Linked DNA regions of Saccharomyces cerevisiae S288C. The protein of the gene in region 1 purifies or fractionates together with the protein of each later gene. This does not show direct contact. Each region holds a gene or a part of one and is shown in the gene's direction. Other genes may lie near its edges.

Region 1 (5,306 bases):
GATGGCCAAATTATTAAATCAATTGCGGCCATTCGCGAATTACATCAAATGTGTTTGACTTCTATGGGACCCTGTGGTAGAAACAAGATCATTGTTAACCATCTCGGTAAAATCATTATTACCAACGACGCGGCCACCATGCTAAGAGAACTAGATATTGTCCATCCTGCAGTGAAAGTCCTCGTAATGGCGACTGAACAACAGAAGATCGACATGGGAGACGGTACAAATTTAGTCATGATTTTGGCTGGCGAACTATTAAATGTGTCCGAAAAACTGATTTCAATGGGCTTGTCTGCCGTTGAGATTATTCAAGGTTATAATATGGCAAGGAAGTTTACTTTGAAAGAACTAGACGAAATGGTTGTTGGTGAAATTACTGACAAGAATGATAAAAACGAACTTTTGAAAATGATTAAACCAGTCATCTCCTCCAAAAAGTACGGATCTGAAGACATATTGAGTGAACTTGTTTCTGAAGCTGTATCTCACGTTTTACCAGTTGCTCAGCAAGCTGGAGAAATTCCTTATTTTAATGTTGATTCTATCAGAGTAGTAAAGATTATGGGTGGATCGCTTTCCAATTCTACCGTCATCAAAGGTATGGTTTTCAATCGTGAGCCTGAAGGCCATGTAAAATCATTATCCGAAGATAAAAAGCATAAAGTTGCAGTTTTCACTTGTCCGCTTGACATAGCCAATACTGAAACGAAAGGCACTGTTTTATTACATAATGCACAAGAAATGCTCGATTTTTCTAAGGGCGAGGAAAAGCAAATAGATGCCATGATGAAAGAGATTGCCGACATGGGCGTAGAATGCATTGTTGCAGGTGCTGGTGTTGGTGAATTGGCGTTACATTATTTGAATAGATACGGTATACTAGTCTTGAAGGTACCAAGCAAATTCGAATTAAGAAGATTATGTCGCGTTTGTGGGGCCACTCCATTGCCTAGATTAGGTGCGCCAACTCCAGAAGAATTAGGTTTAGTGGAAACTGTTAAGACAATGGAGATAGGTGGTGATAGAGTAACTGTGTTCAAACAAGAGCAAGGTGAAATTTCAAGAACATCTACTATCATTTTAAGAGGTGCCACACAGAATAATTTGGATGATATTGAAAGAGCCATTGATGATGGTGTTGCAGCCGTCAAGGGACTAATGAAGCCATCAGGCGGTAAGTTGTTGCCTGGTGCTGGTGCTACCGAAATTGAATTGATTTCTAGGATAACTAAGTATGGTGAACGAACACCTGGATTGCTACAGTTAGCTATAAAACAGTTTGCCGTGGCTTTTGAAGTGGTTCCTCGTACCCTAGCGGAGACCGCTGGTCTTGATGTTAATGAGGTACTACCAAACTTATACGCTGCACATAACGTAACTGAACCTGGTGCAGTTAAGACAGATCATTTATATAAAGGTGTGGATATTGATGGCGAATCTGATGAAGGTGTAAAGGACATCAGAGAGGAAAATATTTATGACATGCTTGCAACGAAAAAGTTTGCTATTAACGTCGCTACAGAAGCTGCAACTACTGTGCTTTCCATTGACCAAATTATCATGGCAAAGAAGGCGGGTGGTCCAAGAGCACCTCAAGGCCCAAGGCCAGGTAACTGGGACCAAGAAGACTGATTTGTTTGCATCTTTATACTTACAAAGTAGATATACCTGCAAACAGCAGAATATAATGTCATAAATTGCAATCAAGTTTTCAAACTTGCTAGGCTGTATCATGTGTACCTGTATAGTAGTAAAGATATATATAATGTTTGAATTTTTGATAATGCAGATGTACTGTATACATTAACCAAGAAGCAACCTGCAAAACCGACGAACTCTTGGCCTGTATATTTGTTCGATGATTGTAATACTTTTTTTTTTTTCAATTTTTTTTCGGTTAGCGAGAATTTTCATGCTCATCTACAATATAATGAAGAAAATTATATTAGATGAGCTGCGATCTGTTACAACTAGTATACTGTGAACGACGCTGAAACCTTCACGGAAAAACCACATTATTGTTATTATGGGAAAGACTAAAACAAGAGGCAGAAGACACCAAGACAAACAGAGAAAGGACGAATTTGAACCCAGTTCAAATTCTGCGAAGGAGCACATCCAGCAAGAAGAGTCTACTTACAATGACGAAGCCGAAATTAAAGAGACTCAGCCACAAATGTTTTTTGGTGTGCTAGATAGAGAAGAACTGGAGTATTTCAAGCAAGCCGAATCGACTTTGCAATTAGACGCCTTCGAAGCACCTGAGGAAAAGTTTCAATTCGTCACGAGCATTATTGAGGAAGCAAAAGGTAAAGAACTGAAATTGGTTACTTCCCAAATAACTTCGAAATTGATGGAACGAGTTATTCTTGAATGTGATGAGACTCAGTTAAAAGACATTTTCCAATCTTTCAATGGCGTTTTCTTCGGGTTGTCATGTCATAAATATGCTTCCCATGTTTTAGAGACTTTATTTGTTAGAAGTGCCGCCTTGGTAGAAAGAGAACTTTTAACACCAAGTTTTGATAACAATGAAAAAGAAGGGCCTTATGTGACTATGGAAAATATGTTTCTCTTTATGTTGAATGAACTGAAACCGCACTTGAAAACTATGATGAACCATCAGTATGCATCACATGTTTTGAGATTGCTAATATTAATTTTGTCTTCCAAGACATTGCCTAATTCAACTAAAGCGAACTCTACTTTACGTTCCAAAAAGTCAAAAATTGCAAGAAAAATGATTGACATTAAAGATAATGACGATTTCAATAAAGTTTACCAAACACCGGAATCTTTCAAATCTGAACTTCGTGACATAATAACTACTTTATACAAAGGATTTACTAATGGTGCCGAGTCGCGTTCTGATATTTCGCAATCTACTATCACCAAATTTAGAGAGTACAGTGTGGATAAAGTGGCTTCCCCTGTAATTCAGCTCATTATTCAAGTCGAAGGTATTTTTGACAGGGACCGTTCATTTTGGAGATTGGTCTTCAATACAGCAGATGAGAAGGATCCTAAGGAGGAATCATTCCTGGAATATTTACTGTCAGATCCTGTCGGTTCTCATTTCTTAGAAAATGTGATTGGCTCTGCCAGGCTAAAATATGTTGAAAGACTTTATCGTTTATATATGAAAGACCGTATTGTGAAACTAGCAAAAAGGGATACTACAGGTGCCTTTGTAGTGCGTGCATTGCTGGAACATTTGAAGGAGAAGGACGTAAAACAGATATTGGATGCAGTAGTTCCTGAATTAAGCATGCTTTTAAACTCAAATATGGATTTTGGTACTGCTATTATCAACGCAAGCAATAAACAAGGTGGTTACTTAAGGGATGATGTCATTGCTCAATTAATACAAAAATATTATCCAGAAAAGTCTGATGCAAAGAATATTTTGGAAAGTTGCCTGTTGTTGAGTGCATCGACTTTGGGCAATACCAGAGATGACTGGCCAACAGCAGAAGAAAGAAGACGATCAGTTTTCTTGGAACAATTAATTGACTACGACGACAAGTTTTTGAATATTACCATTGACAGCATGTTGGCTCTGCCTGAGGAAAGGTTGATACAAATGTGTTACCATGGAGTATTTTCGCATGTTGTTGAGCACGTACTACAAACTACTAGGGTGGACATAATTAAGAGAAAAATGCTATTGAACATACTGTCTAAAGAGTCTGTAAATTTGGCATGCAATGTATATGGCTCTCATATAATGGACAAATTGTGGGAATTTACGGCAAAATTAACATTATATAAGGAGCGTATTGCTAGAGCATTAGTTTTAGAAACTGAGAAGGTGAAGAATAGTATTTATGGCAGGCAAGTGTGGAAGAATTGGAAACTGGAATTATATGTTAGAAAAATGTGGGATTGGAAAAAACTAATTAAGGAGCAAGAATTTGAAATATTTCCAAATTCTAAACCGCTACAGCCAAAGCCAGAAAAGCACTCAAGAGAAAGAAATAATTCGAAGGAAGGAAGCGCCTTCAAAAAGCAAAAGCACTATAGATAATTGGATAATATGTTACTACTGTACTGATGTAAATTATAGAATTATGCAATATTTTCCTCTTAATAAAAAACCTTAGCTTAAACATTATTAAGGAACACTACAAAGAATTTTGCAGATTTTTAAAAGTTGTCAGTTGCTACGATATTGTATGAATAAGTTGGCGATATTTTTTATATTTAGTTTACTTTCCAGTCAATTCTTTCCGCCCTTTGCATCTATAAATTTAAATAGAAGGATAAAAAAGTGGTTATGAATAGGTAAATAATACTAGAGTAGGACGATAGAAGTCTGTATGAGTTACGGAAGCTTGTAAAAAACCTCAGAGATGCTCACAAATTGTGGTATTCTATACAATGACTGCCATCTTTTGATATTTATCGAAAATGTTACCGTCCCACGTCTAGATGAAAACAGTGATAATTTACTACCATGAAAGCAATACGCACATAAAGGATATTAATTTTAGGGTCTCTTGATGCACTATCATGAAATTTGTAACATGCTGACCTCCTAGTATCCCGTGAATATGTATATTTCAGAAATAGCCGAATATTAAGAAAATTGTTCGTATTCCATTGTTGTTAAGGGCTACAATATTAGGGATACAGAACATACTACGAGTTCTCCTCGAGAACATAGAAATCCTTATATTAGTATTAGTAAAGGATTTTATTATTTATTGGTAACTACTAAGTGTATTTATTAAAGATAATATTCAAAAGTAATTGTATTGTTGCGTTTATGAACAGAGTGAGACAAGTATAAGTATGTTATTATAATATCATACATACCATTGAATAAATTATTTTAATGAAATGGTTATGTTTATATACTCACAAGGGAATCGGTATTTCTTACATAATAGTATTACTCTGTCTTCGTTCCTTTTATACATTGTCATTCAACACCCTATCCTATTACATTATCGACCTTGAATTTCGGCTTTTATTAAGTCTGATGACTATTTCTCATCATTCATGTCATCTTCTTACAGATATGATAATATACAAGTAATATGAATGCTAGATGATAGGTAATAGTTGATTTTTATTTGAAATAGAATCTTCAATGATCGCAGTGGATCTTTTAAAAACTTGGCGAGATAGTGGTAGGGTTCAAGAATAAAAGCAGATCTTCTTATACTATACAAAAGAGGTGTAAAACATGCGCCGATTAGTCATATCAAACATGACAAATATAACAATACTGAGACTATTTACTATAGTTTCTATGTAATGACCCATATCCTTACATATACAAACGTCAAGTTAATTGT
Region 2 (4,541 bases), on another chromosome or scaffold:
ATACAATAAATACGATATCATCATGGACGCATGCACGACATATTACAAGGCGGGGGAAAGAAGAAACGGAGCGCCAGAGCCACAACGAGGAAGCGGGTTTGTGGCTCTCACATCACAGCCCGCCCCTACCAAGATCGTAAGCAACGTGTTCAACACGTACCAAAAAACCATAATGGCAAGCCAGCGTTTACCTCACCCGCGGATGACACATCCTGCTCTTACATATGATCGCGGGCTGTCCACAAAAAACAACCTGGAAATACCAAATTTGGCAGCTACCGCGGAGTAGTGGTCATGACGGAGAGAGTTGCCAAAAAGTGACTGACTCGACTCCCCTCACAGCCCGGATCAATTTTTCCATGCGTTTCCACGGAAATCCGAGGTTTGCCGTTAGAGTCCCAAATTGGCGATGGATGATGAGATAATGCGCCCTTATCAATCACGCTAAAAATTGCCCCACGCTGTACTCAACGATCATAGCTGGCTATTGTTATCGTTGGCTTAGATGGTTTCGCCCGTACAAAAATAGACTTGCATATATATAAAGCTTATCTTCGGCCTCAGTCGTCTAAAAAACTATCTTGCCTAACATTATCTTGTCTTCTTTTCGTTCCCTTGAATCATATATAAGAAAAGATAATCAATCATTCGGCTATTTTCTTACAGATACATACATACGTATAATTCATCAATCATAGCATTAATAGAAGATAAAGTATAATGATCGCTACCTCCAGAGCCGTAAACATGAATAAAGAATCAAAACACAAGAAGGCTGTTGCCAAACCATGCAGAGAGAGACAAACTTCAGTTACAAGAGCCATGAGACCAGCTGTAGCACGTGATCCTCGCAGACTTTCGACGTCGTCGTCTCCTTCTTCGTCACCAATGTCAGCACAGAGAAGGCTTTCGAGGGAAGAAATAATAAACGAAATGGAAAAGGAGCAAGACGCTATTGTAGTAAGACTTCTACGGGAAATTGAAACTTTAAAAGAAGAAAACTCTAGGTTAAAAAATCAACTGCACCATCCGGTCCCGGCTAGAAGGTCGTCTCCATTTTTCGAAGGCGAGTCTGCCATCCTAGATGATGATGACTGCAATTATGGTTACACCCTCGACACTCCAAAGCTAAAGCTCACAGATGGTGCATCCAGACACACCGTACTTCCCTTAACACCCAAGGACTCCATGACCCACATTTCCCATTCCGCCAGAAGGTCAAGCCGGAACGCTTCCATATCTAACGGAACAAGCATCTCAGACACGATTTTCCCCATTGAGACTAAAATCCACTCAGCACCAACAACAAACAGAAACCTTCCCTCCGCCGATCTTCCACATCACACTCTTCTTCCACGTTCTCTAAGCGGCATTTCGTCTAGCGATTTAACCGAATCCGGTGCTCTTCTTCATGACAGGAGAAGGCGTTCTTCCAATTACAGTCTCGATGGCTCAAACTCTTTAAAGGCTGATCTCATGGCAAAGAGATTCCAAACTGGTTCATTGAAATAGGCTGTAAGCGAGATACATAAGAAAACAGAGTTTCTCTAAATATATTCTTCCTATTGATCTTTGGCAATCCAACACATATGCAGTTCGTGCACTTGCGTTATAAGCGTGACTTCTCGCTTGGTTTTTTTTTATAATTTTTTTTTAAAACCTCATTCTAAGTACAACTTTGGCGTTTTTCCAAGCTACTACTTATAATTATATGGTTTATTTCATAAATATATATATATATATATATATATATAGAAAATCAATATACATTTAAGCCTTACTGGAGATGACACTATTTTTGTTCACATTTTTTCTTATGCTCTAAATACCTCGGCCTCATACGCAGAGACAGTGTTGATATGTTTTTATACAAAGTAAAGGCAAAGAGAAGGCACAGACAGGATTTCACAGGCAGCTAAGTAATAACGAATATGCTTGCTTCACATATTTTGCCGCCAAATTACACGCTATGGAGCTACGTTCTACTAGTGGTTACTTACCGCTAGCTATTTAAACCCCATCACGTTGATTGTCTATTTCGCTATAGGTTATTTTGCCAAGAAAACTTACTGGGCAATACTTACATCCATTCAGATTTTTGGATAAAGCAATTGAAGAAAGACGACAGCAATTCGACTGGTGGTTGTTAATTACCCTTTGATCCTCTGATTTAAAGACGTAATCCTTCCTGGGGGTAAGTGCCTGATGTATGGGTCCCCATGCCCTTTTTTTTCGTTTCTTTTTTCACTCCATTTCTTTTTTTTTTTTTTTTTTTGGTGAAAAATTTGCAAGGGCAGCTCATCGCAAGAACGAAAATTTTCAATCCAATATTAAAAGTACTTAAGTGTAGCTGTTGCTGTCTGCACTTCCCAATCCATTGGTACCTTAAGTTATTTCCTTTCGTAGTATTTTTCTTACTTTTGCTTCCCAAAGACGAACTGTTAACCAATTTCGGATCACTCAACCCAGGCAGGATAAAATAAGATGGCTAAGACTACTAAAGTAAAAGGTAACAAGAAGGAAGTTAAGGCTTCCAAACAAGCCAAAGAAGAAAAAGCTAAGGCCGTCTCTTCCTCTTCCTCCGAATCTTCATCCTCATCTTCATCTTCATCTGAATCTGAATCTGAGTCTGAGTCTGAATCTGAATCTTCATCTTCATCTTCATCCTCTGATTCTGAATCCTCTTCTTCATCGTCTTCTGACAGCGAAAGTGAAGCTGAAACCAAGAAGGAAGAATCCAAGGATTCCTCTTCCTCTTCCTCTGACTCTTCTTCCGACGAAGAAGAAGAAGAAGAAAAAGAAGAAACCAAGAAGGAAGAATCAAAAGAATCTTCTAGCTCTGATTCATCCTCATCTTCATCTTCTGATAGCGAAAGCGAAAAGGAAGAGTCTAACGATAAGAAACGTAAATCTGAGGACGCCGAAGAAGAAGAAGACGAAGAGTCTTCCAACAAGAAGCAAAAAAATGAAGAAACCGAAGAACCAGCTACTATTTTCGTTGGTAGACTATCGTGGTCTATTGATGACGAATGGTTGAAGAAGGAATTCGAACACATCGGTGGTGTCATTGGTGCCAGAGTTATTTATGAAAGAGGTACCGATAGATCTCGTGGTTATGGTTACGTTGATTTTGAAAACAAATCTTATGCTGAAAAGGCCATTCAAGAAATGCAAGGTAAGGAAATTGATGGTAGACCAATCAACTGTGATATGTCCACAAGCAAGCCAGCTGGTAACAACGATCGTGCCAAGAAATTCGGTGATACCCCATCTGAACCATCTGACACTTTGTTCTTGGGTAACTTATCTTTCAATGCTGACAGAGACGCTATTTTCGAATTATTCGCTAAACACGGTGAAGTTGTTTCCGTCCGTATCCCAACACATCCAGAAACTGAACAACCAAAAGGTTTCGGTTATGTTCAATTCTCCAACATGGAGGACGCCAAGAAGGCTCTAGACGCTTTACAAGGTGAATACATTGACAACAGACCAGTTAGATTAGACTTCTCTTCTCCAAGACCAAACAACGATGGTGGTCGTGGCGGTAGCCGTGGTTTTGGTGGTCGTGGCGGTGGTCGTGGCGGTAACCGTGGATTCGGTGGTCGTGGTGGCGCTCGCGGTGGCCGTGGCGGTTTCAGACCATCTGGTTCTGGTGCTAATACTGCTCCATTGGGCAGATCAAGAAATACCGCTTCTTTCGCTGGTTCAAAGAAAACATTTGATTAATGAGAAAATGAAATGAATTTCAATTTCAATTTTTTCTCTTTTTACGTTAATTACTATATTCCATTTTTGAGGAAAAATTTGGTCTATAATATTTTGTGTACATTAGTAAGTAAATAGGATACATTCTTAAACCTTTCATTCACCATCTCTATTTGCCAACTTTTCTTCGAATGGCTTACTCTTTTTTTTTTCACGATGAGATGAGATCGCTAGATACGGAAGATTACAAGGCCTTGGAAAATACTCAAAAAATTTCAGTAATATGAAATGAATATCTAAATAAAAGCTTGGGCGTTGTGCTTGATTGAGCCACGAAAACTTCCTTTAAGGATTAGCACATACTCCACTTAAAAGTAGGAACATACTCACATTAAGGTGTTATCAGAATAAATGAATGTTCAAGACAGAAGGAGGTTATTAGGCCCTGCTGCTGCCAAGCCAATGGCGTTTAGCAACACTACTACTCATGTGCCAGAAAAGAAATCAACAGATTTGACACCTAAAGGCAATGAAAGTGAACAGGAACTTTCTCTACATACCGGTTTCATCGAAAACTGCAATGGATCTGCATTAGTAGAAGCTAGAAGCTTAGGACACCAAACATCGCTCATTACCGCTGTCTATGGACCACGCTCCATTAGAGGATCCTTCACATCTCAAGGTACTATATCTATTCAGTTAAAGAACGGTCTTCTGGAAAAATATAACACAAATGAACTGAAGGAAGTTAGCAGCTTTTTAATGGGCATTTTCAATTCAGTAGTAAACCTATCTCGCTACCCCAAGTCCGGCATCGATATCTTCGTTTATTT

The links.
Region 2: the proteins of NOP9 (region 1) and NSR1 purify together in Saccharomyces cerevisiae (affinity purification with mass spectrometry, with the first as the bait; 2 studies listed by BioGRID). This does not show direct contact.

Annotation. Positions count from the first base shown.
Region 1 is NC_001142.9:416,286-421,591, reverse strand, and holds NOP9 (RNA-binding RNA processing protein NOP9), read left to right. Parts: upstream 1-2,029; coding exon 2,030-4,030; downstream 4,031-5,306. Other genes in the region: chaperonin-containing T-complex subunit CCT8, read left to right, coding at 1-1,635. UniProt on the Saccharomyces cerevisiae protein: RNA-binding nucleolar protein required for pre-rRNA processing. Component of the 90S pre-ribosome involved in production of 18S rRNA and assembly of small ribosomal subunit. Component of the pre-40S ribosome required for release from the nucleolus.
Region 2 is NC_001139.9:805,600-810,140, reverse strand, and holds NSR1 (Nsr1p), read left to right. Parts: upstream 1-2,484; coding exon 2,485-3,729; downstream 3,730-4,541. Other genes in the region: RTS3 (Rts3p), read left to right, coding at 721-1,512; exosome non-catalytic core subunit MTR3, read left to right, coding at 4,120-4,541. UniProt on the Saccharomyces cerevisiae protein: Involved in pre-rRNA processing. Specifically binds nuclear localization sequences. Candidate for a receptor at the nucleus that may be involved in both RNA and protein transport. Binds telomeric sequences of the type (TG[1-3])n in vitro.